Linked DNA regions of Bombyx mori. The main gene of each other region encodes a partner of the protein of the gene in region 5 in a complex. Links are inferred from orthologs where the notes say so. Each region holds a gene or a part of one and is shown on either strand. Other genes may lie near its edges.

The links.
Region 1: E3 SUMO-protein ligase RanBP2 (region 5) and nuclear pore complex protein Nup85 share a complex: the UniProt entries of both Drosophila melanogaster proteins name them as parts of the nuclear pore complex. The link is inferred for Bombyx mori from reciprocal best matches to the Drosophila melanogaster genes Nup358 and Nup75.
Region 2: E3 SUMO-protein ligase RanBP2 (region 5) and nuclear pore complex protein Nup205 share a complex: the UniProt entries of both Drosophila melanogaster proteins name them as parts of the nuclear pore complex. The link is inferred for Bombyx mori from reciprocal best matches to the Drosophila melanogaster genes Nup358 and Nup205.
Region 3: E3 SUMO-protein ligase RanBP2 (region 5) and nuclear pore complex protein Nup214 share a complex: the UniProt entries of both Drosophila melanogaster proteins name them as parts of the nuclear pore complex. The link is inferred for Bombyx mori from reciprocal best matches to the Drosophila melanogaster genes Nup358 and Nup214.
Region 4: E3 SUMO-protein ligase RanBP2 (region 5) and PCI domain-containing protein 2 homolog share a complex: the UniProt entries of both Drosophila melanogaster proteins name them as parts of the nuclear pore complex. The link is inferred for Bombyx mori from reciprocal best matches to the Drosophila melanogaster genes Nup358 and PCID2.
Region 6: E3 SUMO-protein ligase RanBP2 (region 5) and nucleoporin Nup188 share a complex: the UniProt entries of both Drosophila melanogaster proteins name them as parts of the nuclear pore complex. The link is inferred for Bombyx mori from reciprocal best matches to the Drosophila melanogaster genes Nup358 and Nup188.
Region 7: E3 SUMO-protein ligase RanBP2 (region 5) and nuclear pore complex protein Nup98-Nup96 share a complex: the UniProt entries of both Drosophila melanogaster proteins name them as parts of the nuclear pore complex. The link is inferred for Bombyx mori from reciprocal best matches to the Drosophila melanogaster genes Nup358 and Nup98-96.

What each region holds. Positions count from the first base shown.
Region 1 is NC_085123.1:528,829-532,979, forward strand, and holds the start of nuclear pore complex protein Nup85, read right to left. Parts: upstream 2,801-4,151; 5' UTR 2,688-2,800; coding exon 2,613-2,687; intron 2,541-2,612; coding exon 1,848-2,540; intron 1,219-1,847; coding exon 1,096-1,218; intron 595-1,095; coding exon 379-594; intron 1-378. UniProt on the Drosophila melanogaster protein: Component of the nuclear pore complex (NPC) that seems to be required for NPC assembly and maintenance. Required for nuclear import of phosphorylated Mad via importin msk.
Region 2 is NC_085121.1:1,014,373-1,017,872, reverse strand, and holds part of nuclear pore complex protein Nup205, read right to left. Parts: intron 3,313-3,500; coding exon 3,136-3,312; intron 2,852-3,135; coding exon 2,681-2,851; intron 2,188-2,680; coding exon 2,070-2,187; intron 1,254-2,069; coding exon 1,139-1,253; intron 169-1,138; coding exon 1-168. UniProt on the Drosophila melanogaster protein: Plays a role in the nuclear pore complex (NPC) assembly and maintenance, but with limited role in NPC permeability. Required for specific nuclear import pathways such as Mad import.
Region 3 is NC_085123.1:8,944,261-8,947,760, forward strand, and holds part of nuclear pore complex protein Nup214, read right to left. Parts: coding exon 3,363-3,500; intron 2,403-3,362; coding exon 2,241-2,402; intron 1,491-2,240; coding exon 1,308-1,490; intron 145-1,307; coding exon 1-144. UniProt on the Drosophila melanogaster protein: Part of the nuclear pore complex. Serves as a docking site in the receptor-mediated import of substrates across the nuclear pore complex including emb, RanGAP and phosphorylated Mad. Protects mbo/Nup88 from proteasomal degradation at the nuclear pore.
Region 4 is NC_085115.1:3,910,084-3,914,260, forward strand, and holds the start of PCI domain-containing protein 2 homolog, read right to left. Parts: upstream 2,801-4,177; 5' UTR 2,415-2,800; coding exon 2,199-2,414; intron 1,838-2,198; coding exon 1,669-1,837; intron 1,074-1,668; coding exon 265-1,073; 3' UTR 1-264. Other genes in the region: Nopp34 (nucleolar phosphoprotein), read left to right, coding at 4,012-4,092, 4,167-4,177. UniProt on the Drosophila melanogaster protein: Required for the export of nuclear mRNAs and involved in mRNA trafficking in the cytoplasm.
Region 5 is NC_085121.1:11,012,575-11,016,729, reverse strand, and holds the start of E3 SUMO-protein ligase RanBP2, read right to left. Parts: upstream 2,801-4,155; 5' UTR 2,567-2,800; coding exon 2,498-2,566; intron 2,423-2,497; coding exon 2,197-2,422; intron 897-2,196; coding exon 1-896. Other genes in the region: transcription initiation factor TFIID subunit 6, read left to right, coding at 3,676-3,912, 4,031-4,155. UniProt on the Drosophila melanogaster protein: E3 SUMO-protein ligase. Component of the nuclear pore complex (NPC), a complex required for trafficking across the nuclear envelope.
Region 6 is NC_085111.1:4,868,685-4,872,184, forward strand, and holds part of nucleoporin Nup188, read right to left. Parts: intron 3,409-3,500; coding exon 3,109-3,408; intron 2,047-3,108; coding exon 1,541-2,046; intron 1,305-1,540; coding exon 1,124-1,304; intron 490-1,123; coding exon 225-489; intron 1-224. UniProt on the Drosophila melanogaster protein: Component of the nuclear pore complex (NPC), a complex required for the trafficking across the nuclear envelope. Required for proper protein transport into the nucleus.
Region 7 is NC_085117.1:3,526,906-3,530,405, reverse strand, and holds part of nuclear pore complex protein Nup98-Nup96, read right to left. Parts: coding exon 3,497-3,500; intron 2,672-3,496; coding exon 2,580-2,671; intron 1,689-2,579; coding exon 1,547-1,688; intron 1,381-1,546; coding exon 1,252-1,380; intron 941-1,251; coding exon 824-940; intron 1-823. UniProt on the Drosophila melanogaster protein: Part of the nuclear pore complex (NPC). Required for MAD import as part of the Nup107-160 complex and required for nuclear export of Moe probably via its association with Rae1. Plays a role in nuclear mRNA export.

The DNA.
Region 1 (4,151 bases), on a different chromosome or scaffold from region 5:
CGGACATCAGCAACCGAGACTGGACTTAAGTCAAAAATAGGGATCCGGGGTACGGATAGACTTGAAATCTTAAGCAACGTGGCCGTCTTTGACGAATCACTGAGTGACACAGGAGGGAGAGAAAAATGCTTATTGAGGGCGCACAAGTCAGTATCCTTGACAGAAGAGACCGGAGTTTTGCCAATGCCGACAGATTTAAGGAATCTCCAAGTATGAGCAGGGCTGCGATTTTCAAGTGATTTGTGAAAGTAAAGTCTTTTAGCATCTCTGCACAAATGGTTGCACCGGTTGCGCAGTGCTTTGTATATGGCCAGGCTGTACCAATTAATTAAAAATTTAACTAATCTTTTTACCAGCTTACTGGCATCTGTCACTTACTTGATGCATATCACCTTCCAACAATGCCCGTAAAGTCCTATCCAGCCTAGAGCCTGAGGGCATAGATCCCATTCCAGCACAGGCCGATGCTGCAGCAGACAACTCATGAGTCCTAGACCAAGGTGCTGTGAACATTACGTAGCCTCCCAACATATCAAACCACGATGTGTATGTGCTACGTATTGACTCAAATGCTGAATATTCTCCTATGATTAACTGTGGGACAAAATTGTATAAATTAGTAAACGAATTACACAATGTTTTAGTATAATAAAAAATAAGCCTAATTAGCTCACTTCATCTTCCTAAAGCCTATTTTAAGACTTAGTGTTAATTAATGAACCACTTAATAATATAAAAAAATAATTCTTGAAAACATTTTCAATTAAGAAAAAAATTCATTTCACAATATTCAAATCATAACTCATTTATTTTGAAGTTATAGATTAACTGATTAAATTAATTAAATGTTCTTATTTGCTGTATATTATGCTGTTATTATTACCGTTATTCAACAGGTATGCTTGCATCTGCCATGTTCCTATTTGATTTGGCTTAGAACGGGGAAATTAGCATAGATAAATAGGTAATTTTACAAATTTTTTGAATGTAGTAAATGATGATGATGGTGGTATACACTTTAATCTAAGAATTTTGAGGACAAGAACAGTTTCTAGTTTATGCAGTTACTTAATTGATTCACACATCTTTACTTACTCTCATAATAAGTTCAAGTTTTGGTTGTGATGCCAACACTCTGCTAGTAACCTTAGCTCTGCATTCAGCCTGCCAATGCTTCCAAGTTACTGTAAACTCCCCAGTTGATATACCACCATATATCTGTAATTTTATATCCATGTTATGTAGATGTAAAGTGTTTATGGCAAGATGTGAGGTAAGATCGAACTTTTAGCTATAGGATATCCCAGGTTAAATTTGTTTAATAATATACAACTTTTCATAACCACAATGAAGTCTTTGATCTGACACAATGGTTACATAAATTAATAATAACATAAATTTATAAATTTTGATGGTGTTAATTGTTTTTCCCAAAATAGTTTTCCAGCTGAAGTTTGACATGTGTGGACTATAACCTATATCATGTGAACAGTCATTCAGTAGTTTAGACATAAAAATCTAATAAGACAAGAGTAAAGTTCATATATGGCTGAGCCTTTACTCGCCCACCTGTCCTGGTGAAACTGGAAAGGCCTCCGGGCCACCAGTAATCTTTCATTCATAAAGAAAAAACATTCATATAAAATATCTTATTAGCATGTTCCAAACATCTCTAAATGGTGATGGAATTGTTCAGATAAATTGTCTCTTAACTATCCAAAGTATAATTTTTGCTCTTAATTAATTTATACTGTGGAATACTTAATGAAAATCAATTGTTCCCTTTATTTGTGAGGAATTTAAATGATAATTTGACTTTAGAAATTATATTTCATTTTTATACTCACACTATAAACAGGCATACTCCGTAATGAATTATCAACAAGCTTAAATTCATTTGTTTCTGATAATGAATTTAATTTCAGTAGAGCTCGGGCGACATCTACTCGCCCTTGCACAACCATGCCAATCACAGTATCCCAATAGTCATCGTGGTCTTCTGAACCTCGCTCACAGGCCTCCAGCAACTGCGCTGCAGTCTGCTCATGGCACGGAAAATGGAATCGAACCCATTCTAGGAGGTATGGCAACACAATGTCTCCGGGAATCTTATCTATGTAAAGGATCTCACATAAATGCCAAATACATTCAACAGAATAAAATATTGTAATGTATGATTGTAAATTGATCATGTCGCTGCCGTCTTTCGCATCATTAAGGGCTTCTTGCAAGTTTTCAATGCACACTCTTATAATAGAACGATATTGTCGTGAAAGTTTTAATAATTCCACGTGATTGTCATTATTTTTTGAAGAATCGACGAGTTTCTGCAGAGATAAATATGTACCATTGGATTCGTTTACCAGTTTTCGTAAAATCGGATGAAATAATACAATCTCGTGACGTATATTGAGTATTTTGTTTTCGACATCATTTTTTGGTGTTTTCGAAACAGTTTGACTGCGTGGGTAGATAGAAAACTTGTTACCACTCCTCCACGCACATCCTACGCCCTTATTGAAACATTTTTCTGGTATATTCTGTAAGAAACAAAAAAAATAACTTAACTCAAACATAACCTATATATTCGTTGAATCATGTTAATTACTTACAAATGTTTTAGCTCGAATAATAGGACTACTATCATCGCCACGAACATTATTGTTAGAAAAAGTCGTTATATTCATTTTGTATTAAATCTTTCATGTACACAATGCAATTTCACATAAAATTTTGTAAACATTTGAATGCGAAACAGAATTGATCAGAAACCGCCGTTTCAAATGCGCTGATTTTTTTATTTGTTTCACACATAGAACAAGGTGAAAGCAAAGGAAACAAAATCCATACAGCCAATTATTCTTTTTGGTCAAATGCGTAATAATAGTGGGTTAGTAATCTTTTAGCATGTGTATATGGGCAGGTGTGAGAAAATAAAACAAAATCGCAGGACATGGCTTAGCGGTATCTTTTTCAAAAATACGCACACAATTCTATTTCGACGTCACCTCATCTCATCTCATTGCAATTTCAGATGATTCAATTTGGTTTCATTCCTTCCTATTAGATTTAGATAAGTTGACGAGCAATACGCACCTGTTATTTTTTATAATTCGTTGTCTATTCGCTGGTGTCTAAGGGGCTATTTCAGCTACGCGCAAACAAGTAGATGAGCTCAGAAATTCAACCTGAGAAAATTTGCTAACACTAGCCCTAGCAAGAACAGTGCCGCTGCAAAATCTATTACCCGATCAGAATCACGACTCATTGAGAATATCCGGCCAGAAACGCAGTGGGTTGTGTCTATGAGTTAATTCGATCATCGAAAACTTCGTCGCAATTGACGTGATTGATGAAGAAAGTAACCGTGAGTGAAAGGATCGGATAGGTCATGTTTCGCGATGTAATTTTACGTTGCCTCGTCCTTTGAGTCGGATATGTAATAAGCAGCGGTCACATTAAATAGATTATCGTGTCGCACCGAGCACTACGTTAATATTGCCACCGATCACAAAACATAAAATCAAAGACTCATTTGTATTGTATAGACTATGTAGTCCACCTTTCATAGCGGAACGCTTTCTAACTGTTATGCTTTAGAAACAGACAGAACAGTGATACCCAATAATGAAATTTACTGAAATCTACATGTAATTTCGTTCGCGTTCGACTTTTGTACTTCGGGTTTCAACTTCTGCACTTTCACAGATGCTAAACGATTGATAATCTACCATGATTATACGTTTAAACTAGAAGCAACACTAAATTAACAAAATAAAATAATCCATACAGTTACCTTGCCTCCCCGCCGAAAAGTTTCTTACAAACTTTAAATACACGAACATACGGCCAACAGTGCTAGACAAACTTTAACCCAAGATAACTAAAAAGTCGAGTATGATAGCCGTAAACATATTTTAAAAAGGTATGCATTGACAGTTGACGTTTTTGTTTGTTTTCGTAGTTTGACGCTCGTGATTCATTGTGAAACGTTTATCCCCTATAATAAAAAAAGTTTTTAAGTTTATATTTACCCTGAAATTAAATCCTTCCAGTATTTACAAGGTATAAAGGTACGTGAACATTTGATGACTTTGCATTTTTATTTAATAAGTAATGTCGCTGACCGGATGACCTGTTGGAGGACATAT
Region 2 (3,500 bases), about 10 Mb from region 5:
CCTGCAGTTCAGCGTTGAGCGCCCGCTTGTCGTTGGTGAGGGAGACGAGGCGGGCGGCCTCCAGCCCGGCCCACAGGCGCGGCGCGGTGCAGGGCCAGCCGCCCAGCGCCGCCAGCGTCAGGCACAGCTCCGCCTTCAGCTGCAACGGTATGTGGCAGCACATCAGCCCTGCGGAAGAAGAATATCGACGCTTGAAAAGCAAACGTGACTAAGCGACAATGCGTGAACTTTACAGTAGACTAATTTAAAGTTGAAATACCTGAAAAAAATTCTATTTTAACGAATCTAGCTGTAGGATTGGAATGATTTTAATAGACCTAGAAATATATATTTTTTGCGCATCGAATATGGTTAATGCCTATAATTTATGTACAAAGCAGTTATTGTCGCTTAGTCACGTTTGCCTTTCAAGCGTCGATATATTGTCTAAGTTTCTCGTCACTCGTATTGTGTTAGTGGCGTGTCCGAGTCGCGCCGAAACCGTCGCGTCGTTTGTACCAACTCGAACATGCTGACACTATGTAACTATTTATACGTTGTGGATTAAAGAATCGGCTTCCAAAATGGTTCACGGTCTATGAGCCGCTTCAATTGGATCGATCTTCTGTAAATTACTTTTGTTTGCTTGTAGAACGCAATGATTACATTACACATGATCATAGATAGGTAAACAGATAGTCACGTCCGTGCGTTGCAGGTTGCGGCTGCGCCCGCTGGTCTCACTCATTTTACTGTGACCGATGTGGCCACAAATTATCTTGCAAAAGCTCAGGCGTAAGTCCGCCAGTACAGCGAGAGGTGAAACATTCACAACCGATTTTTTTTTTTTTTATTGCCCATGTAGACAGACGAACATACGACTTAATAGTGCGTGGTTATCGTCGCCCATGGACTTCAAGGATGCCAGAGGCAGAGTCAAGCTGCTTCCTACCGCTAAGTACTCTCCACCAGCCTCGTTTGAAGCAGGACATGTCATAGCACTCGAGAAACACCGTAGTGAGGAGCTCATTCCAAAGCCGGATGGTACGTGGCAGAAAATAATTCTGAAAAGGCACTGTGGATGAGTGGCTCCAGATAGTATGGAAGGTTCAGCTGTCGTGGTTGCGTTGTACCAATGTGAGCGCGGCGGGGCACGCACCGAACATGTTGTTGACGGCGTCCCACTGCAGGTTCTCGCAGATGGCGGCGGCCGCGGCCTGGTCCTCGCGCGCCACCCCCGCCAGCAGCTGCAGCGCCGCTATCATCGCCTCCACCTGCCCGCGAACAACAGACATCAATTACATTTACAATACCGCCACAAAGAAGCCTCAATAAAATATTGTTACGCCGGTAAGAGTAACGTCATCTATCGCCGAATAGTCGAACCAATATCAAAGGATCTAGTAGCACCTAGCACTCTCGAGAAGTACAACGCCATCTATTGTCAGATAGCGGAAACAATACTAGAGATGTGTGGAATATTCTCGATAATTCTAGGGATGTGGTATCGACTATAAAAACGTTGCAGGGATAGCACGCAGTCAGTCAGTAATCGGAACTACTCGAAGCGAATGAAGCGAATTGAGAATTTTAAAGTGTAGTGAAGTGTATTGAAGTGTCCTAAGTGCTAATACAGTGTTAACTTGTAATTCAGTAGAATTTATTTATCCCGAACCCCAGCGCGTAACAATATACTCAATCGTTACGACATAAAGATTTAGTTCACTTGCAGACTTTACGCATCCTGTGGATTCCAATGAAACCACTGGATCTATGTTACACTGTATTAAACGTTACAATTTCATACAATAGCTACAGCCGCGTCTTCACAAGTCCATTCCGTTATCCCCACCACTTAAGAAATCCGATCCATAGTTAGGTTCAGACCTCCGCGGTCACGGATTACTGTTCCCTTGTGCCCTTGGAGCACGAGCGTGTCTTCCGTATGATTGAGTTGGAATTTTGTTATTGGGACTCCGGGGGAGACTTTTTTACTGTGTCATCACAACATGGCAGATGTCGCGAGAGTGGTTTCGCAAATGAGCGTTTTTTTAATGATTAATTTTGTACAATGTACCAATTCTCCTTACCTCTTCCTGTCGGATGAGCAGTTTCCCCGGTCTGGCTGCTGGAGTGACGATGGCCGTGGCTCCCAGCGACGAGGAGTGCAGCGCGTCCGAGAACGGCGCGTGGTCCGTGCGCAGGTTCCTGTGTGCGTGACAATCGCGACTGCGTACAGTTACTTTTAATAATATTGTTAAGCCGGTAAGAGTAGCGCTATCTATCGCCGAATAGTCAAACGAATGTCGAAGGATCTAGTAGCACCTAGAACGCTCGAGAAGTACAACGCCATCTATTGTCAGATAGCGGAAACACAATACTCGAAATGTGTGGAATATTCTCGATAATTATAGGGATGTGGTGTCGGCTATAAAAGCGTTGCAGGGATGGCACGCAGTTAGTTAGTAACCGGAACTACTCGAAGCGAAATAGCGAACGGATCACCTGAAGCGAAGCGGAAAAAGTGAATTGAGAATTTTAAAGTGTTTGTGAAGTGTTTTAAGTATTCTAAGTGTTGAATACTGTTTTTAGTTGTACTTTGGTGGAACATTTATTTATCCCGAGCCCCAGCGCGTTACAATATAATTAACTATATATCGTATACAGTACAGCGCCCAGGTGTGCGTGCGTGTGTACGTACGAGTGGTATCTGGCGAGTGCGAGCAGCATGTGGTGCGCGGAGAGCGCGTCGCGGCGGGAGAGCAGCGCCCAGGTGTGCGTGCAGACGGCGAGCGAAGCCATGGCCTGCAGCGCCGCGCTGGAGGCGGCGCCCCGCACGAACTTGTACAGCGAGGCCGCGCGTCCGCCCCAACTGTACACATCATACTTGATCATAATATGAACTTTTTAAAAAGTAAAATTAACATTTTTATTAGGTACTGCTCCGACAGGCTGAAAGATAAAGCTGTAGTTTACTAAGGAGGTTTAATGGTTTAACACTTTCTTATCATACATTTGATTAACATGAATTTAGAAAAAATAAGTACATAGTATATAATATACTTAGAAAAATCAATTATATATTTTACTACAATTTGAAGATAAAAAATTGTTATCTCTTGCATCACTGCAAGTGTGGGAGGGTGGGTGTCGTACCGCGGCTGGTGCGCGGGGCGGCACGGCTGCCAGTAGTCGTCGCGCAGGCGGTGCGGGTCGCGCGCGTACAGGCGGCGCACGCAGCGCAGCAGCGCGTCCAGGCGCGTGCGCGAGCCGCCCGGCGCCGCCAGCCCCTCCAGCGCGTACGCCTGCACCGAGCGCGCCGCCTCGTCCGCCCTGCCGCCGCAACGCGTTGCAACAACAATCAGCATAATGACGTCACGTAAGACGACTAAACACAGTAATTGAATACTCGATTTATTTTGATTAGAATTCCTTTACACTGCTTATTGCGTTACGTGTTATAAAATGTGCTAAAATTATGTATATCTTTATTTTTTCCATGTTGGTGACGGTATGTACAC
Region 3 (3,500 bases), on a different chromosome or scaffold from region 5:
GGCTTTATTTTAACTATTTTATGGTTCGATAGCATATCTCTTAAAGCGTCGTACTTTTGCGGCGTGAGCAGGGGCTTCTTTGTCTTCGTTTCCGGTTCTATGCTCATATTCAATATGTTCTTCGTTAACTTCGAGAGAGGATCTCTGTGAATATCGATAAAAGTATCTTTATTATATTTTAATACATACACATAGGCAAGTTTATGCGACATGGAACCAGAAATGGACAAAGAAAAAAAAATCTATCGAGCCCAAATGTCGGTGATTTCAACTACTGTTTCTAATGTATTATAGAGTGTTGGCAACTCCAACATTTTAGCATGGAAAATAAAATTATATGACTGGCAACATTGTTGATGTCAGTCTCTTCCTGACTTTTTGGCGGGAACGCGAGCAGTGAAGTTGTGTGATTTGTTTTATTTTGTCTATTTAGTGTTTCTTCAGGTTTAAATGTGTAATAACGGTGGTTTATTAACTGTTTAATATCTGTGAAAGTGCACAAATGTGGGAAAATGAAACAAAGCTGCTGGACGTAACTTCTCGGGTTCCTCCAAAAAGTCCACTGAAAAAATCTCAGTAAATGACCACCATTTTACTGCGATTATATTTCATCCCATATCATCTCATTTCATTAAATTTCATCCCAGTTGATTAATGTCTCAAATTAATCATCTTCATTTCATTTCACTCCATATTATCATTTTTCATAAAATTAAGAATATAAAGTAAAATAAGACATGACTTAAAGGTCTTAGTTACCAGGTCATAAAATCTCTTAAAAAAAAAAAAAAAAACAGTCTCTTCCTTTTTTACTTTTCACCGCGAGCGGACGTGTTTTTCATATTAATAATATCAAGTGTATGGACATTCAAATAAACCGTATTGCAGCACAAAGCACAAGTTTTCTTTATATCAGCAACCGGCCCATACAGCCCGCACCAAAACATAGATCTATCCAGAATTTTGAAGATTACAATATCGAATTCTTGGAAAATATAATTGAATTCTTCAAATCGACTGGTGGTAGGACCTCTTGTGAGACCGCACGGGTAGATACCACCACCCTGCCTATTTCTGCCGTGAAGTAGAAATGCGTTTCGGTTTGTAGGGTGGGGTAGCCGTTGTAACTATGCTGACACCTTAGAACTTATATCTCAAAGTGGGTGGCGCACTTACGTTGCAGATGTCTATGGGCTCCAGTAACCACTTAACACCAGGTGGGCTGTGAGCTCGTCCTCCCATCTAAGCAATAAAAAAAAACGAATTTAATTTTCGAAGCATTTTATGAATTCTATATATAAACTCACTTGTTCCTAAAAGGAGTGCTTCTCAACAGCGACGGAGATTTGCTTAACGGTAATATGTCACATTCCTTGAGTGCATTACGCAGGTTCCTTAAAACGGTCTGTTGTCGGCTCAGGATCTCTTGTTGCTTCACCAGCGGCTGGTACACGTCGTCCAGTCTTGGACGTATCATGTACTTTCCCTGTCTGAATATTATTGAATAGTTAATTTATTAAAGATGTCGGCTGCATAATGTGACTTGACTAACATTTTTTTCCTTTTTATTATTAAACACTAATTTGTTATGACCCAGACGTAAGGATACTTGGTCTTAAAGCCGGTATCAGAGTCGAAAACACCGAAAAGTAAATATCGCCGTTTTTGACACACGAAGTAGCTAGTTTTATTTCAGCTGTTCCCGCCCTCGAAATAAGAACGATTGGTCTTCGCAGAAAAGACAGATTGTCGGCACCTAGAGGACTTACAAAGTACCAGTTTTTTTTATTAGAAGAAATCTTTCTAGCCTACTAGATAAGACGATAAGAAGACGCATTGCAAGACGCAATCCTACGGCAGGTACTGATTTTGTTTATGGCAAATAATATCTAACATTATATAATAATTTAGATTATTATAAAAATCGAACACGTAAAATTATTTAATTTACGTAATTACTTGGAGAAGGGCGTTTTGTGACCGTATGGGTGTAGGGATCAACTTGCTTATTTCGGCACAAAGCAATCGCGGATTCGGCTCTCAAAGATTTTATACAATATAACATATTTGATGTCTCACATCGGATGATGAAATTTACGCTTTAATATCACGAGTTGCAATGGTAAACAAAATTATACTAGACGAATAAAAGCATCACCCAGTATAAATGCAAAATTTAACTTTAAATTAAAATTTTATATACATATATATATTTTTTTGTAATGTCCTACAACACTTACTTGGCATTTGGATCATTCTCGACTATTTCGTTCCATTTATAATCCAGCGCTTTCTGTGCTTGTTCCAGTTGATTCCGCACGTAATAAGCAAGTTTCTTCACTGATGCAACTTTTTTTATTGTCAGCGGATCCGCTTGCGTCCATTGTTGTAGATCTTTGGTGCTAAAACATAATAATAGTATTTCGTAGACACATGCTTATTACGACAGACACGTGCTTATTAATTATATCAGCTTAATTTATTGTAAAAACAAGCGGAGCCCATAGACATAAATAACGTAAATGCCGCCACCCACCTCGAGACATGAGTTGTAAGGTTTCAGTTTTGTAGTACAACGGCTGCCCCACCCTTCAAACCGAAACGCACTACTGCTTCACGCTAGAAATAGGCAGGGCGGTGGTACCTACCCGAGCGGGCTCACAAGATGTCCTACCACCAGTAAATTTTCTACTTTTACTGCCAAGCCTAGATAATTTTATAGTTTTTCTGATTCCGAAAATTTAAGTCAATACTAATGATATTTTTTTATCATACCAAATAATTCCTTAGAGAACGAGACGTCAATGTATTCGTATCAATCACGCGATGCGACTATGCCGGGGTTCAAGCCCCGCAGACAGAAATAAATTTTTTTTAAGGAAATACGTACGTATCACGTATTCACGAATTACTTCAACAATGAAGAAATAACAGTGTTGTATTTTTACTGGTATATTGTGAACCAGCACGGGTGAGTACTACAAATCATCCTATTTCTATCTGCCTGAGGTTAAAACCGCCGTTATCTCTATATATAAAAATGAATTGCTATTCGTTAGTCTCGCTAAAACTCGAGAACGGCTGGCCCGATTTGGCTAATTTTGGTCTTAAATTATTCGTGTGGAAGTCCAGGGAAGGTTTAAAAGGTGAGAAAATATAAAAAAGCTCGGAATTATATAAAAACAAACAATTTTGTTTTTCCTTTGATGTGTCCCCTTGATGTGTCTTTTATTTATCGATTGAGGCACTACGAAGTCTGCCGGGTTAGCTAGCACTATATACAATTGAGACTTAGACGTCATATCTAAAAGCGACAGTCGCGTTCAGTAGACTACAATATAAAAAAAATTATCTTAACTTACTTAGCATGTGTACGGGCTTCTGCGACTAGAGCGCAGGTGCGGACAAGTTCCAATTTTAGTTGTATTATCGCGCCCCTTAAGTCTTCCAGTGAACAATCTTTCTTGAGCTGCTCAGAGTCTAGCGAAGTTAAATTGAAA
Region 4 (4,177 bases), on a different chromosome or scaffold from region 5:
TTCTATTTTATTTAATGACAACCCTAAACACATTAGTGCTACTAAAATAAAAAAACTGGACTACTGAACTGTTTTGTGTATTTTTATGGATATTATATGTAATCAAAAAGAAAGTATTTAAATAGTGAAATTGCGTCAGATATACAATTGCTCATCATCACATTTCACTTAATCAGCCTTTATGCTAATGGAATCTTAATTTTTATTAAAACAATCAAAAAATTAAGTGTGTATTCCCCTAGGTATTATTTAAATGGTATAAATTTAATACAGACTAGATAATGGAGGAAAAGCATTTTGTTTACTGACAACCACTTTCTTGTGTTGGTATGAGATGTATCCTTTGATTTTTCCATCATATATGAGATTTGCAACAATACATTGAGTTTCATCTGAATCAACATCTTCCTGTCCCATGATTTGTAATGCTGCCTCGAAGCTGGCTATGTCTATCTGATGTGAATTCTCCGCTAAATATACTTTCCTAAACAAATTTCTGTATGCTGTAATCTTTAATTTTTCTACAATCAAATAAATACCAGCCGTTATGAAGAACTTTTCATGTTCCTCCATAACCATATCGATACCACGCAAATCTCCATTTTTCACAGCTGATATTAGATCCCAGAATTGTAGCAAATCATATTTCTCTAGTAAATATTTTGCGGGCATGAAACCCAACAGCATTTTCACAGGAACTAAATAAGTTAGAATGAGCCTTTTATTTCGTATGCTTCTTCTGTGACAATTTTCAAAAGCAAACGATAAGTATTCATCAGCTAGACGATAGTCTGAGTCAAACATGGCTTTACGACCCACAAAATATCTGTATGTAATTTGTTGGGCCAGTGGGAATTGATCTTTGAATGGTGAAGAATCAATGGCTCTAATCAATGGTTTGCAAAGGTGGAGCTTGTTTATCCTGAAATATACTTTAAGAAGTTGGTTTACAAGACACAACATGCCTATCTTTTTGGTATCCACATCTGAAGCTCTGTTGTCAGCAGCACAGACTCTGAAGCAAGCTAATAAGCTCTCTGCTGCTTTTTCCATAATTTTACTGCCATTTTGAGCTGAAATATTGACAAATGAAATTAATTGTACAGAATACAGATTATTTAACACAATATTGACTAAGACAACAACTCATGCAAGTATTTGAGATAATTTCGTTTTTTCGACATTGTACCACCATAACAGAGTTGAATCCTACCACCTGTGAATATACTGAGCACTTAGGGTTAGTCATTCTTCAAACAAGACTAAGGAGACAAATCTTGAGTAGAAGGGAACCTGCACTTAAACAGCCACCAGATGATGAGTGGTTACTAGAGTCTGTAGACGTTACTTTGTGAAGTCTGCCTTAAGTGATGAAGTTTAAGGCTGAATTGTATAGTGTAATTGCTGCACTATTCTTCAAGCTAGAATACATGATTGCTTTAGTACAGAAACAAGCAGTTTGGTAATACATACCTAGTTGTGCAAACTTATAACACAACCGACCATCATAAATACTATAAGATCTCATTTCTATGACACATTATTTTCCTTGGCATTTGAAGATTTCAATATGAGTACTCCAGGCATCTTATTCTTAATGCCCTAATCACTTGATACTATTACCATCTTATCTTAGCTCTTGAATGATGTATGCAAATTCATACTTACGGCTAGATGCCTCTGCTTTCTGTGCAACAAGTCTAAGATCTAAACATGCAGCATACATAACCGGAAGGCACCAGTTCTCTTCTTTCTGTCCCTGTAATAGCTTTACGACAGAGGCCACACATATACTCTGATGATCGTATGCCTCAATGTAATCACTTGCATATAATGCCTGGAATGCAAAGCATTTTTTTTTATTGCTTAGATCGGTGGATGAGCTTACAGCCCACCTGGTGTTAAGTGGTTACTGGAGCCCATAGATATCTACAACGTAAATGCGCCACCCATATTGAAATATAAGTTCTAAGGTCTCAGTCTCTGACCGAAATGCATTACTGCTTCTGACTACTACTGACTCAAGAGGTCTTGCCACCAGTAAAAGTATTTGACGAGAAGCTAATAAAACGATATATTTAAAATACACTTAACAGGTAATGTTCGCTGTAGTAACGGCCAGATTAATAATGGTACATTTACTATTTTTTAATCTATATTTATCAATTTAAAACCAGAATTAAATTCATATATCTCACCTTAAGACATGATAAGTGTGCAATTACAAGTTCATCTAATGGAGCAACACAATTTCCTGTGACAAGGGTTGCAATATCGCTAGATAATAGATTCCTATTGTAGACATGTTCATCTCTTAGAGACAACAGTCTAGACAATATGTTACCTTGTCCCGTTCTGTACATACGTTCCACACATTGTATGTATTGATTAAGAGTGCCAGTTATCATCGACATTGTGGTTAGGTATTACTGGATTTTTAACTTTGAATGACTAATTTTAATATACAAAATTACAAGAATGTAGTTTTTCCTATAATTTCGTCAATCGACATTTCATGATTGATATTTATCAAAGAATCAGAGTTTATTAGCGCAAAATCGGTCTCATGAAAACATTGAAATTTTGTTTTCTTTATATGTCATTTCCACTTTCCACAGCTCAACTGGAGAAAGGATAAGTTTTTCATTCCTTGGATAGGCACACGGAAAGAAGTCTATACCGCTAAAGCATTTGGAAGGCCAAGACTATACTTATTATGTGAAATGGAATGTAATTAAGTGAAATCAAATGTTTATTTATTTTTTTAGATGAAGTGAATTATAACAGCGGCAACCATACATTTTTTTTTGTTTGAGACACAAATTGCAGGCATCATACTGTACTAACGATGGGTTAATACTGATATTTGTCAATATACAAATATATTCGTTATGTAATATTATAATACCTTAACTAATACGTGAATATCCTGATATCTTAATATACTTTGATAAAACGGGTAAACGAGTTAAACCTAATACGGTATTCGTGAAATAAGTTAATAATCATAGATAATACACATTAGTTATTAATAATATAAATAGTATATTGTATCTAGGAATTTGACTTCAAGGAATCAAGAAATGAAGGTTCAAACATTAAAAAGTAATGCATTTAAAAATTCCCAAGCTGTATTACGAATATCTTAATGAATACTAATATATCGGTCTCACCCTTATACTGTACTGTGTTCCATTTAAAAAAGTAACCAGTGCAGCTATTAAAGGAATGGCTTCGCAGTATACTAATTTTACATTATATTTTACAGTGCTCCCAGTGTACATCGGAACATAGCCTTAAGCATTAACACAGGTGCGAAAAAGCTAGTGAACCACTGTTTTATACGTTTAAGCATAAAGTAAATGAACAAAATGTAACAAGTCACATTAATCCTTTTCTCACGATCCCGCCTAAAGGTCTTGAGCTTTTTGTGTCTGTTACACGAGAGTTTGTTATTTCTACCAGATAGCCAAAGGGAATCTATTTTTATATTAAATTGATGTACCGTATTTGCAGCTAAAAAATAGATAATATGTAATGCCTACACCTATCTGACGCAAACGATACATATTAAAACGAACATCAATCTGTGCACTTAATACACGAGAAGGCTTGGGACTTTTTGGCGGGAATGCGAAGAGTGAAGTTGTGAGATTTGTTTTATTAAATTTTTGTCTATTAAGTGTTTCTTCAGGTTTAAATGTGTAATAACGGTGGTTTATTAACTATTTAGTATCTGTGAAAGTGCTCGTTCGTCCCGTTTCATCTCGTCTCGTCTCGTCTCACTTCGTTTTCATTTTCATTTTCATTTTATGACATTTCGTGCATTGTTTTATATTAATCAGCTTCCTTCATTTCATACCACTTTTCATAAAAATAAAAATAAGACTTGACTTAAAGGTCCTACTTACCAGGTCATAAAATCCCTAAAAATTAAAAAAGAAGACTTTGTTGTTCTTTATTTACACTTCTAAGTTTTTGCTTAAATCACATTTTAAATTACGAAATAAAATGGAAGAAAACGTTGCGTTGGATTCTAGCAAACAAAAAAAGTTTATCAAATCCATTAAAGGATTGCAAAAAACTATAAAGGTAGTATTAATAACATTATATATTTGAGACTAGGTTATAAAAAACCAGTGTACTTATTCTTATTTATATCACAGAAGAAAAAAAC
Region 5 (4,155 bases):
TTTTTCATAGATTGTTTCCCTCCAAGTTGTTCCAACAAGTGTATGTGATATTTGATCTAATTTTTGATTCTTATCTTGAATATTTGACAAAAGATAATGACCTGCTTGAGAGCACCTGTATGTTCCTTCAGAAAACCACCGTCTAACTGCATTTGACTGTTTTTCTGGGGCATGTTTAACCCAGTTTACTTTTGGATCAAGTGGTAATGTTTGCCATGCTATTAACATCAATGGTGCAGCATATTTTACAGCATCTCTCCAATTCAACTGGTCTTTCTTTGCCCTCTTCAGTAACAGTGTAGCAGCATGTAAGCTAAATTGTCCTTTATGATGTTGAAGCAAACTTGCATGAAAATCTCCATGGCCAGGACTAGGACCTGTTTTTGCAACTATTTCAATTGACTGATCATAGGCTTGTAGAAACTCTTGTGACTCTACTAAGCTTTTTGATGTACCACTTGGTGTTTCAGTTAAACTTAAGACACACAAACGTTCTCTAACAGTTAAAAGCAATAACTGGTACAGCCATTCATTATGGTTAATTCCACTATTTACCACAAGATTGGCTAAAATTTCATACCAAGCATAATTACTCATGAAAAAATTTTCACCAAACTCAATATTGCAACTGTGTTCAAAAGCTTCTTTTAATTTATTTGTGCTAATATAATGTTTTATTAAACGTGCATGAAGTTGTGCATCTTTTGGTCTTATTGCCAATTCTGTGGTTATTAATTTGACTAGTGCTTCAGGATTTGGATTTTGCAAGGATAGAAGTCTTTCACGGAGTCGAAAAGTAACAGGGTGTCTAGGGAATATTGCTTCTGCTTTTTCACACCAGTATTTTGCACGTCCAGGTTCTATTTCCACATCATAATCAGCTAGAAGTTCACAAACTGAAACAAGTATTTTTATATTTCATTTAAATGGTGTTAAAACATCAATTATGATCTTCCTGACCATTATTTATAATTTAGACAAGTCAATCAATTATAACAGAGGGAATACAGATGATTATACAGATGGAAAAGCTATGCTGACTGCCACTATTTTTTTGGTGGATTAATTAATTTATCTTAGTTTTTTTTTTATTGCATTAAAGTGGCTGGTTATACTAGACCTTCAGCCACTTGTAGTTTATTGTTTTGTATAATATTCAAAACAGATCTGACGTGAAGCAGTGCACGTAAGGTAAACAATGGCAAGGTTTTATTACTTGTAATGGTCAGGTCAATTCACACTGAATGAAAATAATCACAACACACATATTTTATACATCAGGTGATATGAAATAGGCATCATACAATCTGAAACCTATATGTGGACCTATGTATTACTTATGACGACGCTTGTAACTGAAAGTAAGTATTGTACTTTTTGACGAAGCATGTTGCTGATAACTCTATTTCTGTAATCTGACGAAGCGTGTTGCGGATAATAAAATGTACTTTTAGGTTAGGAATATTATTCTTTTTTTTATAATAAATTAGAAAAGTTGATCTGAAACTGTATTTAGTCATGTGTGAGTACTTGCCTAATCATGATCAATCAATCAAGCCTAATAAAGAATGAACAAGCTCATGACCCACTTGGTGTTAAGTGGTTACTAGAGCTTCTAGACATGAGAGGCCAGATCTTAAGACTTGTGGTCTATATCTCATTTGTATAGCAAAACCTAATTTTAGTTGATTTTATAAGTTAGTGTGTTCCTGCATTGTGGAAGTCATTCAAGAATTTTATCTTTTCGGGTATAACAACTTCAAACTATACAATAGCTACAAATGAATACATACCTATTAACAACATACAAAATATTATATTATGTAGTTTATTATATACATGATAATAATAGAGTATTCTTTATTGCAAAACAATATAAAATCAAAAGAAAAACAAAAAATCAAACAATGTATTGTACTTATGCTTATGCAGTCTTATTACTAAATATGACCTCTTCCAAGCTGACAAGAATCATCTAAGGAAATAAATTAATCATAGTACTACCACCAACACACTTACTGATAGAAAAAAAGAATATAACTAAGAATATAATTTTCACATAAATATAAATAAATATATATAAGAATACTGCACATAAAAATGGCTTAATAGAAGATTTTGGTTTTAATATTAACAAACCTAGTAAAGTAGCTATATGATAAATTGTAAATTAAATATTATTTTAGTAAGACTTACTGTCTAGAATAGTGCTTGTCTGGGCTGGGTCAATGTCCAGGGAAGTTTTGTATTGTTCTAAAGCCTTTTCTTTTTGTCCTATCTTCTGCAAAGCTTGTCCGAGAAGTTTATAAGCCGCTGCATTGTTATCTTTTTGAGTAAGATATTGCTCAACATATTTTTGGCAATTCGCAAAATCGCCAACTTCAAAATACAACCGAGCGATGGAATAAGCACGACTTTTAAACTGAAAATAACCAAATATCGATGGTAAAAACTTTGTCAATAAGCGTAATACTTGATTTGAACACCAACTACCAACCTCTCTCGAAGATATTTTGTTCAGCAAATTTTCGACGTGCTTATCAACGTCTTTTTTATTTCTATACATTTTAACGATTTTTCCGTCTAACCGATAGTAGTCACTTATTTACAAAACTAGACCTTTTGAAAATAATATTACAACTTGAAGCGCATGAGGCTGCAAATGCCCGTAATCGAACGCGAAGCTATGGTTGGTTATATTGATTACCTTTATTCTCTTTGAAATGGTTGGCAAAATGAATAATAACGAATAGAAATTGGAATGCCGTCAAAAGTCAATATGTCGTCAGTTATAGAGCAAAAAATTGCTAGATCTAAAAATGAGCTCAAAATGTACCACAAATTTAAAAATGTTTGTTTCATAACTGTTCATTTTCTGGAATACTTTTCTGTGGCATGCATTACTGAACAATTTTATAAAGCAATGCTTAAAAATGTAAAAAAATATGGTTTCTATTTGTTGTCATAAAATTTACTTGGCTTAATAAAAAAATCATAAATTACGCAATCCTTAGCTCATGCACTCAACTTGATCCCATAGACATTATAATCTACACCCATCTTATGGCATGAGACCGTAGTTTTAATTTTGGGTGTGACATGTCCATAGTATTGGCATAAAATAGCTTCATCCAGTTTTTTCACACTCAAGACAAATAATAGAGCATGGGCAGCATAAGCAGCATTTCATGCCAATTGATTAAGTTTCCTTCGTTTTTTATTATTCGTAAACTGTAAATACCTACTTAAAACGGCGATTCCTAAAAATCTTATTACTTGACGCTGGCTAATGCACAAACGTGCCGGATCCAAAAACTAAGAAGAAGAATATGTTGTACCAAAAAAATCTATGGTAGAATGTCTACTTGTATCCAAATAGTAAATAAATTAGGGTACACAGGTACATACCTACCTACTTATCTACATTAATTAACTTTACCTTATCACAACAGGAAAATATCAGAAAAAAGCAGGAATAAAAAATTAAAGATTAACCCAAAGAATACAGTGATACAAGGGGTCTATCGTAATCGTAACCAATTTGGTGATAAATCATTGTTTAATGCTGTAGTCAACGTATCTTAAAGGTATTCATATGCTCCCTTTGATTGAATTGAGAACTTTAACAACTTTCATAAACCACAACCTTATTTTTTTATAGATTTAATTTCTATCATGGGCGACTCAGAATTGGCTTATGGATCTTCGTTAACGTTGGATTCCATGAAAGTGATAGCAGAGAGTGTTGGTATCGCCACTCTTGGCGATGACGCTGCTAAGGAACTCGCTGATGATGTTACATATCGCTTGAAAGTGATTGTTCAAGATGCCATGAAGTTCATGCATCACTCAAAGAGACAAAAACTTTCCATTACAGATATAGATCATGCCCTGAAGATAAAAAACAATGAGGTATTTTAATATCTGCAGTTAAAGCAATATTTAAATATGGCTTTAAGTGTTCCATGGTCTCCTATGATAAATTAACAATATTTTTTTTTAATTCATTATATTATTTCATTCATTTTAGTGTCAATATGGATTTATTCAGCCTGATTCGCTGCCATTTAGGTTCGCATCTGGAGGAGGTAGAGAACTCCATTTCATTGAAGAAAAAGAGATAGATCTTTCGGAGATCCTATCAGCACCACCCCC
Region 6 (3,500 bases), on a different chromosome or scaffold from region 5:
CCCAAGCACTGGTCATAGTTTTCGTCGAATCCGTCGCTTGCGACTACGGGCTCGGCGAGTAAATTAGCCTACAGACACATTCCACTGAGTTTCTCGTCGGATCTTCTCAGTGGGTCGCGTTTCCGATCTGATGGTAGATTCTGCGAAGCACGGCCCTTGCTAACGCTGGAATGGTCTCTCTAGACCATCAGCTTAGGTAAAAAAAAGGAGAAAAAAAAACTCACCCAGTGAAATAATCTTGAGCAGCACCAAAGCGTTTTCAGTGTGCAGTAAACTATATACACAGGTCCGTTTCAACAGCGCGGTGCTGCCATCTGTTTTCTGGTCTTGCAACACTAAGGTCAGGAAGCGCATACAGCGCTGCAACATGGCGCGCCGGTCCTGTATGTTCGTGTAGCGCCAGCCGTATGCGTTCGGCAACACTTCGCGCAGGAGCAGGATCAATCCGGGCAGAATTATTTCTTTGGTAACACGTTCTTCGGTTGATGCCTGTTATTGTTTTGAAATAGTTACCGTTATAAGCTCCGTCCCAAATTAATTAAAGACCTATAGTGTATGACAAAATTGTTTAACACGTTGACTGCCGTGTAGGTCACCGGTGCTCTACGCGGCGCACTGAAGTAATTCTCTTCTCTACTCTTCTTCTTATCTTCTTACTGAGGCGCCGGAATATCTAGTAGACTCTCTGGGAGAGACGAATCCGAACGATCCTGAGAATGAATCTATTTCTAAGCAACTTAAAAGACTGGTTTAGTTTTTACCATACCATACCATATTAACCAACAAAAGAAGGCAAAGTTAGGCAGTCCGGGCGTTTTAGTAACAGAAATCGACATAATTACTTCAATGCGCCGCGTAGGGCACCGGTGACCTACACGGCAGTCAAAGAGTTAAAGGCTTTGTGTTTTATTTTAGATTTATAGAACAGAAATTGCAGGTTAGATCGACCCCTTTCGATTTAGGTGAAATTTATTTAGGAGTCTTCTTTGATGCTATGACAAAATTTTGACTAAAGGAAAATATTTATTATCTAGATAAACCAAGGTTAATAGTTTCTGTGATATTACTAAAAAGACCTTAAAACTTTTACTACTACGAATACGAATCACAATTTTCTCAGTACCTCATGAAAGGTGCAAAGCATATCAATATACGCAGATAGGAACTTGTATGTTCCTGTAGGTTGTTCTAGTGCAACTAAATAGGATCCAACGGTAGCTGAATCAAACGATTCGCCATTGGCATACTCTATATGCGTCAATTTCTGATTCATGATGCGTGGTAACAGACCTGCGTTTATCAATCTGAAAAATATATTTATTGCAATTTTTTTTTTTGTTAACAATAAAATTTAACACTTCTTAGATTTTCGTATTAGTAAATAAACAATATCTTATTATATTAAGATAAGAGATAATAAGCTTACATTGAGAGAAGTCTAAAAAATTTGTTATTTAAAAAAAGTTTTTATTTAAAATAAAGTGTTTGTGTCAAATTAAGTTTCCCTTAAAAATGATTGAAAAAAATGTAAATTACACACCTCAAATGAATTTCTTTCGGGAAAACTGGCACCAACGCAGAACATACTTCAAGGCATTCCACCAAAAGCAGCAGAGGCGGAGAATCAGCCCTCATAAACCTTACTAGTATATCGAAAACTCCTTCACATGATTCTACCAACGCCTTTGGGATCTCTTTCTCCTCAACCAGCGACTTGAGTACACCCTTTAATACTCTCGCACCTTCAAAAACTCTCTGCAATATCGCATTGACGTTGTACTGATGATGTTTTCTGTCTAAAGCTTTTTCTATATCGCTGTTGAACACCGTCCAATAAGAGTAAGGTGTTCTGAAGTGGATCATGGTGCCTTCCTTTCTTTCCATGATTGTGGCTTTGGAGCCAGTTTCAATGCGATAAGACGGATCTCCCAGAGGGTAGTACTCTCTGCCGACTATGGCGTCATCGTATTGTATAGATACCAGTGGTACTGCGTTTGGATTGTATATTTCCGTGTATACAGGTAAATTTTTCAATTCAGATATTAGCTGTAATCATTTAAAATTGTATATTAGTTGCTGGTGAAAACCAAACGAGTCCTACTGTGTCTATCGCTAGTTATTTGAAATATATCAGTTCCTTAACTTGGGCGCCACCTATTGTATATTGATCGTACTATAATATTCACTATGTGCTATTCTGATGTGTAAAGCTATGTTTCATCAAATTCTGTCCAATAATTTTTGAGTGGAAGAGTAACAATTCTCACAAAATATCATGCTTAATATTAGTAGCATAATACACTATCCCATCTATATCAATATTTGTATGCTTTTTTGTTTTGTGTTGCTAATACACAGGCATCTTCTTTATCCAATTCAGTACAAATGTTACTTGATGGTAAGTTTGTGGCATAGCACTATTAATAATATGCTATAAGTAAATAAATAACTTTAATAATTCGGGACATATTACATACGATCCTATGACTCCAAAGCTGAACGAGATTTTTTAGCAAAGTGGTATCCCCCCTAAAACATTGACTGCAGCAACTTTCCATGTTTGTTTATCTACATAATTTTGTGCAACAGATCCAGAAACCGTTTGTGAAAACAGTATGGACATTCGTTGTAAAATGACATAGCAATTAATATTTACAAGCTCTCAGACTTTAAGGCAAAGCTTTTGATTACTCAAAATTAAATAGCGGATGTAATGTTCCATTATGTGCATCCTTTTATCAATATTTCGGAACTACCTTTATCACTAGCTAAATTCCCAATTTAAATATTATTAAATGCTTTATGAAAATACATTTTTATCAAAAACAATCATGCATAAACATATACTACTCTATAAATAAACTACAATAGTTAAGAGTGAAGTGCAGCAGAATAACTATAGTTTAAAAAATGCATATTTGTTCAAAATAATTGCCTGTTATAAGTTACACACGAAAATGGTAATCTTTTACAATAATACATTATGTATCATTTATATCTGAGCAAGAGGATTTCGTCTTGATCGCTTGATTCAACTTTTTTTTTTTTTTTTTAGTTAAGAATGCTATTAGCAATTTAAATCAAAAAATATTACTTAAAATTACTTACATTTCTGACGCTGTTCTTACCAGCTTGAACTAAGCCAGCAGCTAAATTTGAGAGAGGACTAAAATGATGAGGGAAATATTCTAGTGCAGTATTCCATAATGACACTACACCAAAGTCTTTGTCTCTCTGATGAAGTTTCCAGAATTGACAAGCTATTTCTGGTGACTGAAGCAGGTCTGAACACAGCTGTATAATGCCAGTTTGATTGCTGAGGCTTCCGTCTCCATCAAACTTGTCACAAAGCTCGTTGAGGATATTAAACATTCTTTGTTTAGCTATTTGTGAGCACTTTGATTGATCCTGCAAGGTTGATTACATTTAATGTATGTAATCTCTCGCTATAGTGTAATGTTCATAAATTATGGTCCTAAATCAGGAGTTCCCAAACTTAT
Region 7 (3,500 bases), on a different chromosome or scaffold from region 5:
CACCGACCCCCACAGCGATATAACATCGTGCGGTACAAGCAAATTTTCCTGGGACGTTTTGCCAAAAAAAAAAAAAATGGCTGGTGAGCTCACGGCCTCCTGGTGGTGACCGTTGCTTATCGACATCAACAAACCCCTGAGTACTCTCATCAAGCCTCGTTTTCATTGCTTAGATGGGTGGACGAGCTCACGGCCCACCTGGTGTGAATTGGTTACCGGAGCCCATGGACATCTATGACGTAAATGCGCCACCCACCTTGAGATATGAGTTCTAAGGTCTCAGTAGTTAAAATGGCTGCCCCGCCATTCAAACCGAAACGCATTACTGCTTTACGGCAGAAATAGGCAGGGCCACCAGGATATTTTGACTGGTTTGATTTTTATTACACGATGTTACTCCTTCACCGTGTAAGTCAATCGTGAACATTTGTTGAGTACGTATTTCATTAGAAAAATTGGTAGGTACCCGCCTGGGATTCGAACACCGGTGCATCGCTACACACGAATGCACCGGACGTCTTATCCTTTAGGCCACGACAACTTCCACGTGCCTTTTGAGACCTCCGTGGTCGCGGGTCGGTTCGTTGTATAGAGAACTAGCGACCCGCCCTCGCTTCGCTTCGGAAACTGTAATTTATTATTGATTTCTCCACTATTTAATGAATGTTATTATACATATAAACCTTTCTCTTCAATCACTCTATTTATTAAAAAAAAACCGTATCAAAATCCGTTGCGTAGTTTTAAGATTTAAGCATACACAGGGACAGATATAGGGACAGAGAAAGCGACTTTGTTTTATACTATGTAGTGAAGCTCTCACCCGTCTTGAACGTGTTGGCGGGCTGCTGCTGGAACGTGCCGAGCCCGAGCGTGCCGAAGCTCGGCGCCGCGGGCTTGCCCTGGAACACGCCCCCCGCCCCGGCCCCCAGCCCCGGCGCTGAGGGGGACACGATAGCGTTAGTACGAATTTACGTTACGAAATTAGTGTGATGCATATTAAACTCCAGTTTCACGAAAGTGGTTTCGATAAAATATGCAAAAGTGATTTCTTATCGCAGTATATATTTTGCTATGTTCAATGTAGCTAAAAAAATGCAAACTTATAAAAAATACGTTGGGGGATTCGAGGATGGTTAACAACGAGGCATTTGGGTGCAATGATGTTAGCCTCTGAATTAGCAGATGAAGACCCTGAAAGTACGGAGCGCCGAGTGCCGCGCGGGACCCCCTCCCCCCAGCTATACGTACCGGCGGGCTGCGAGGCGGCGAAGCTGAAGCTGGGCTGCGTGGTGGCCGGCTTCCCGAAGGCCGTGCCCTGCCCGAACAGGCCCCCGCCCTGCGTGCCGCTGCCGAACGTAGGCGCCATGCTGCCGAATGCTGTGGACGAAACACATTGACCGTGAGCACGCCGGGCAGCGGGTTCAGTGCTCACCGCGGCCCATGGACATCAGAACTTCAAGACATAAGATGTATGTCTCGATCGTATTTATTTATTTAATATATATTGTGCACACAAAAAAAGGCAAAAAAAAGAAAAAAATACCGGATGTGGTGGTACCGAACGCCGGAGCCGTCGTCTTGGCAGCGAAGGGTGCTCCGCCCCCCGAGAATGAACCGAAGCCCGAGCTGGCCGGCGTCGTGCCGAACGCTCCGGTTGCCGGCTTCGCCCCGAATATACCAGTTGACTGAAACAAATAATTTCGTAAAATCAATATTTGAACTCAAGCACTCATCACCACCATGAGCGCCCACTTACTATCGTATAAACGATACGCTTGGCTGCCTACAGACAGTAGAATTCGATCACACGTATAAAAAATATTTCAGCTAATTTACTCTTTATTATTGGTAATACTAACTCTAGTTCGAAATAATTGTAAATAGACATGCTTCAGCAAAAACCGACATAAAATAGAAAAAAAAAGAAGATATTCCAAAGCAAATTAATATACACTAAAAACAATAATCATCGAAATCGGTTGGCGTGATATTGAGTTATTGAGTTATTCATCTATCTATTTGTCGCGCACGTACTTAATGCAAATTTAAGACTTATATGGTTTTCTCATGGATACCATTATCGGAACTGGACTAAATTGAAATGGGACCACACGGGAAGCGTCAGCTTTCCAGCAATAAAAAAAGAATCATCAAAATCGATTCACCCAGTCAAAAGTTATGAGGTAACAAACATAGAAAAAAAACATACAGTCGAATTGAGAACCTCCCCCCTTTTTTAAATCGGTTAAAAATATCATAACAAAAAAACTTGTACAACTATTACAACGGGGTAAACTTAATTGTAGTTCAATTAAAAACATCGAACTTGTTGATGTCGATACTAAATAAAACGGACCTTTAATTACAAAGAGAAAAGTCCCTTAAACCGAATATCATTTCACCCTTCGATAAATATATTTTTGTCCTTCTAACCAGACGAGCTTACGGCCCACCTGTTGGTATATGGTTACCGTTGCTCGTGGCCCTCGGCAACGCCAGGGGCGGAGTGAGGCCGCTGCCCGCCTCAATACAGTATTCCAAAGGTTTTAAGGATTATTATCCTTAATTCTGCTGACCTGATTCTGCGTGTTGGCGCCAAACCCGAATGTGTTAGTACTGGCGCCGAACGCCGGCGCTTGTGTCGTCGTTGTATTGAACAGGGTGGAGCCTGCAAAGAAAAAAAAAAACAAAAAAAATATATATATATATATATATCAGTATCCATCACAAGACACAAAATAAATAACGCAATTACATCCGGCCCGAAATTAAAATTCCCTGAACCATGGGTACCAGAAACTGACAAACGTACTTATTGTTACGCCGGTTAGAGTAACGCCATCTATCGTCGAATAGTCGAACGAATATCGAAGGATCTAGAAACATCTAGAACGCTCGAGAAGTACAACGCCGTCTCAGCAACGCTTTTATAGTCGCTACGACATCCCTATAATCGTTGAGAACATGCCTCAGAAATCGAGTACCTTCGATGTGTGTTTCCGCTATTTGATAATAGATGGCGTTACAATTCTCGAGCGTTCTCGATATTGCTGGTGGTAGGTAGGACCTCTTGTGAGTCCGCGCGGGTAAGTACCACTACCCTGCCTATTTCTGCCGTGAAGCAGTAATGCGTTTCGGTTTGAAGGGTGCGGCAGCCATTGTAACTATACTGAGACCTTAGAACTTATGTCTCAAGGTGGGTGGCGCATTTACGTTGTAGATGTCTATAGGCTCCAGTAACCACTTAACACCAGGTGGGCTGTGAGCTCGTCCACCCATCTAAGCAATAAAAAAGAGAAAAAAAAAAAAGCGTGTACCTTCGATGTATGTTTCCGCTATTTGATAATAGATGGCGTTACACTTCTCGAGCATTTCGATGTTACTAGTTCTTTTAATATTCGTTTCTGGTGTTTGATGACAGATGGCGTTACTCTTACTGTATTAATCTAGGTGAGCCGTCGGATAGTTCAAAAAACATAAACATATACTTTACCCGC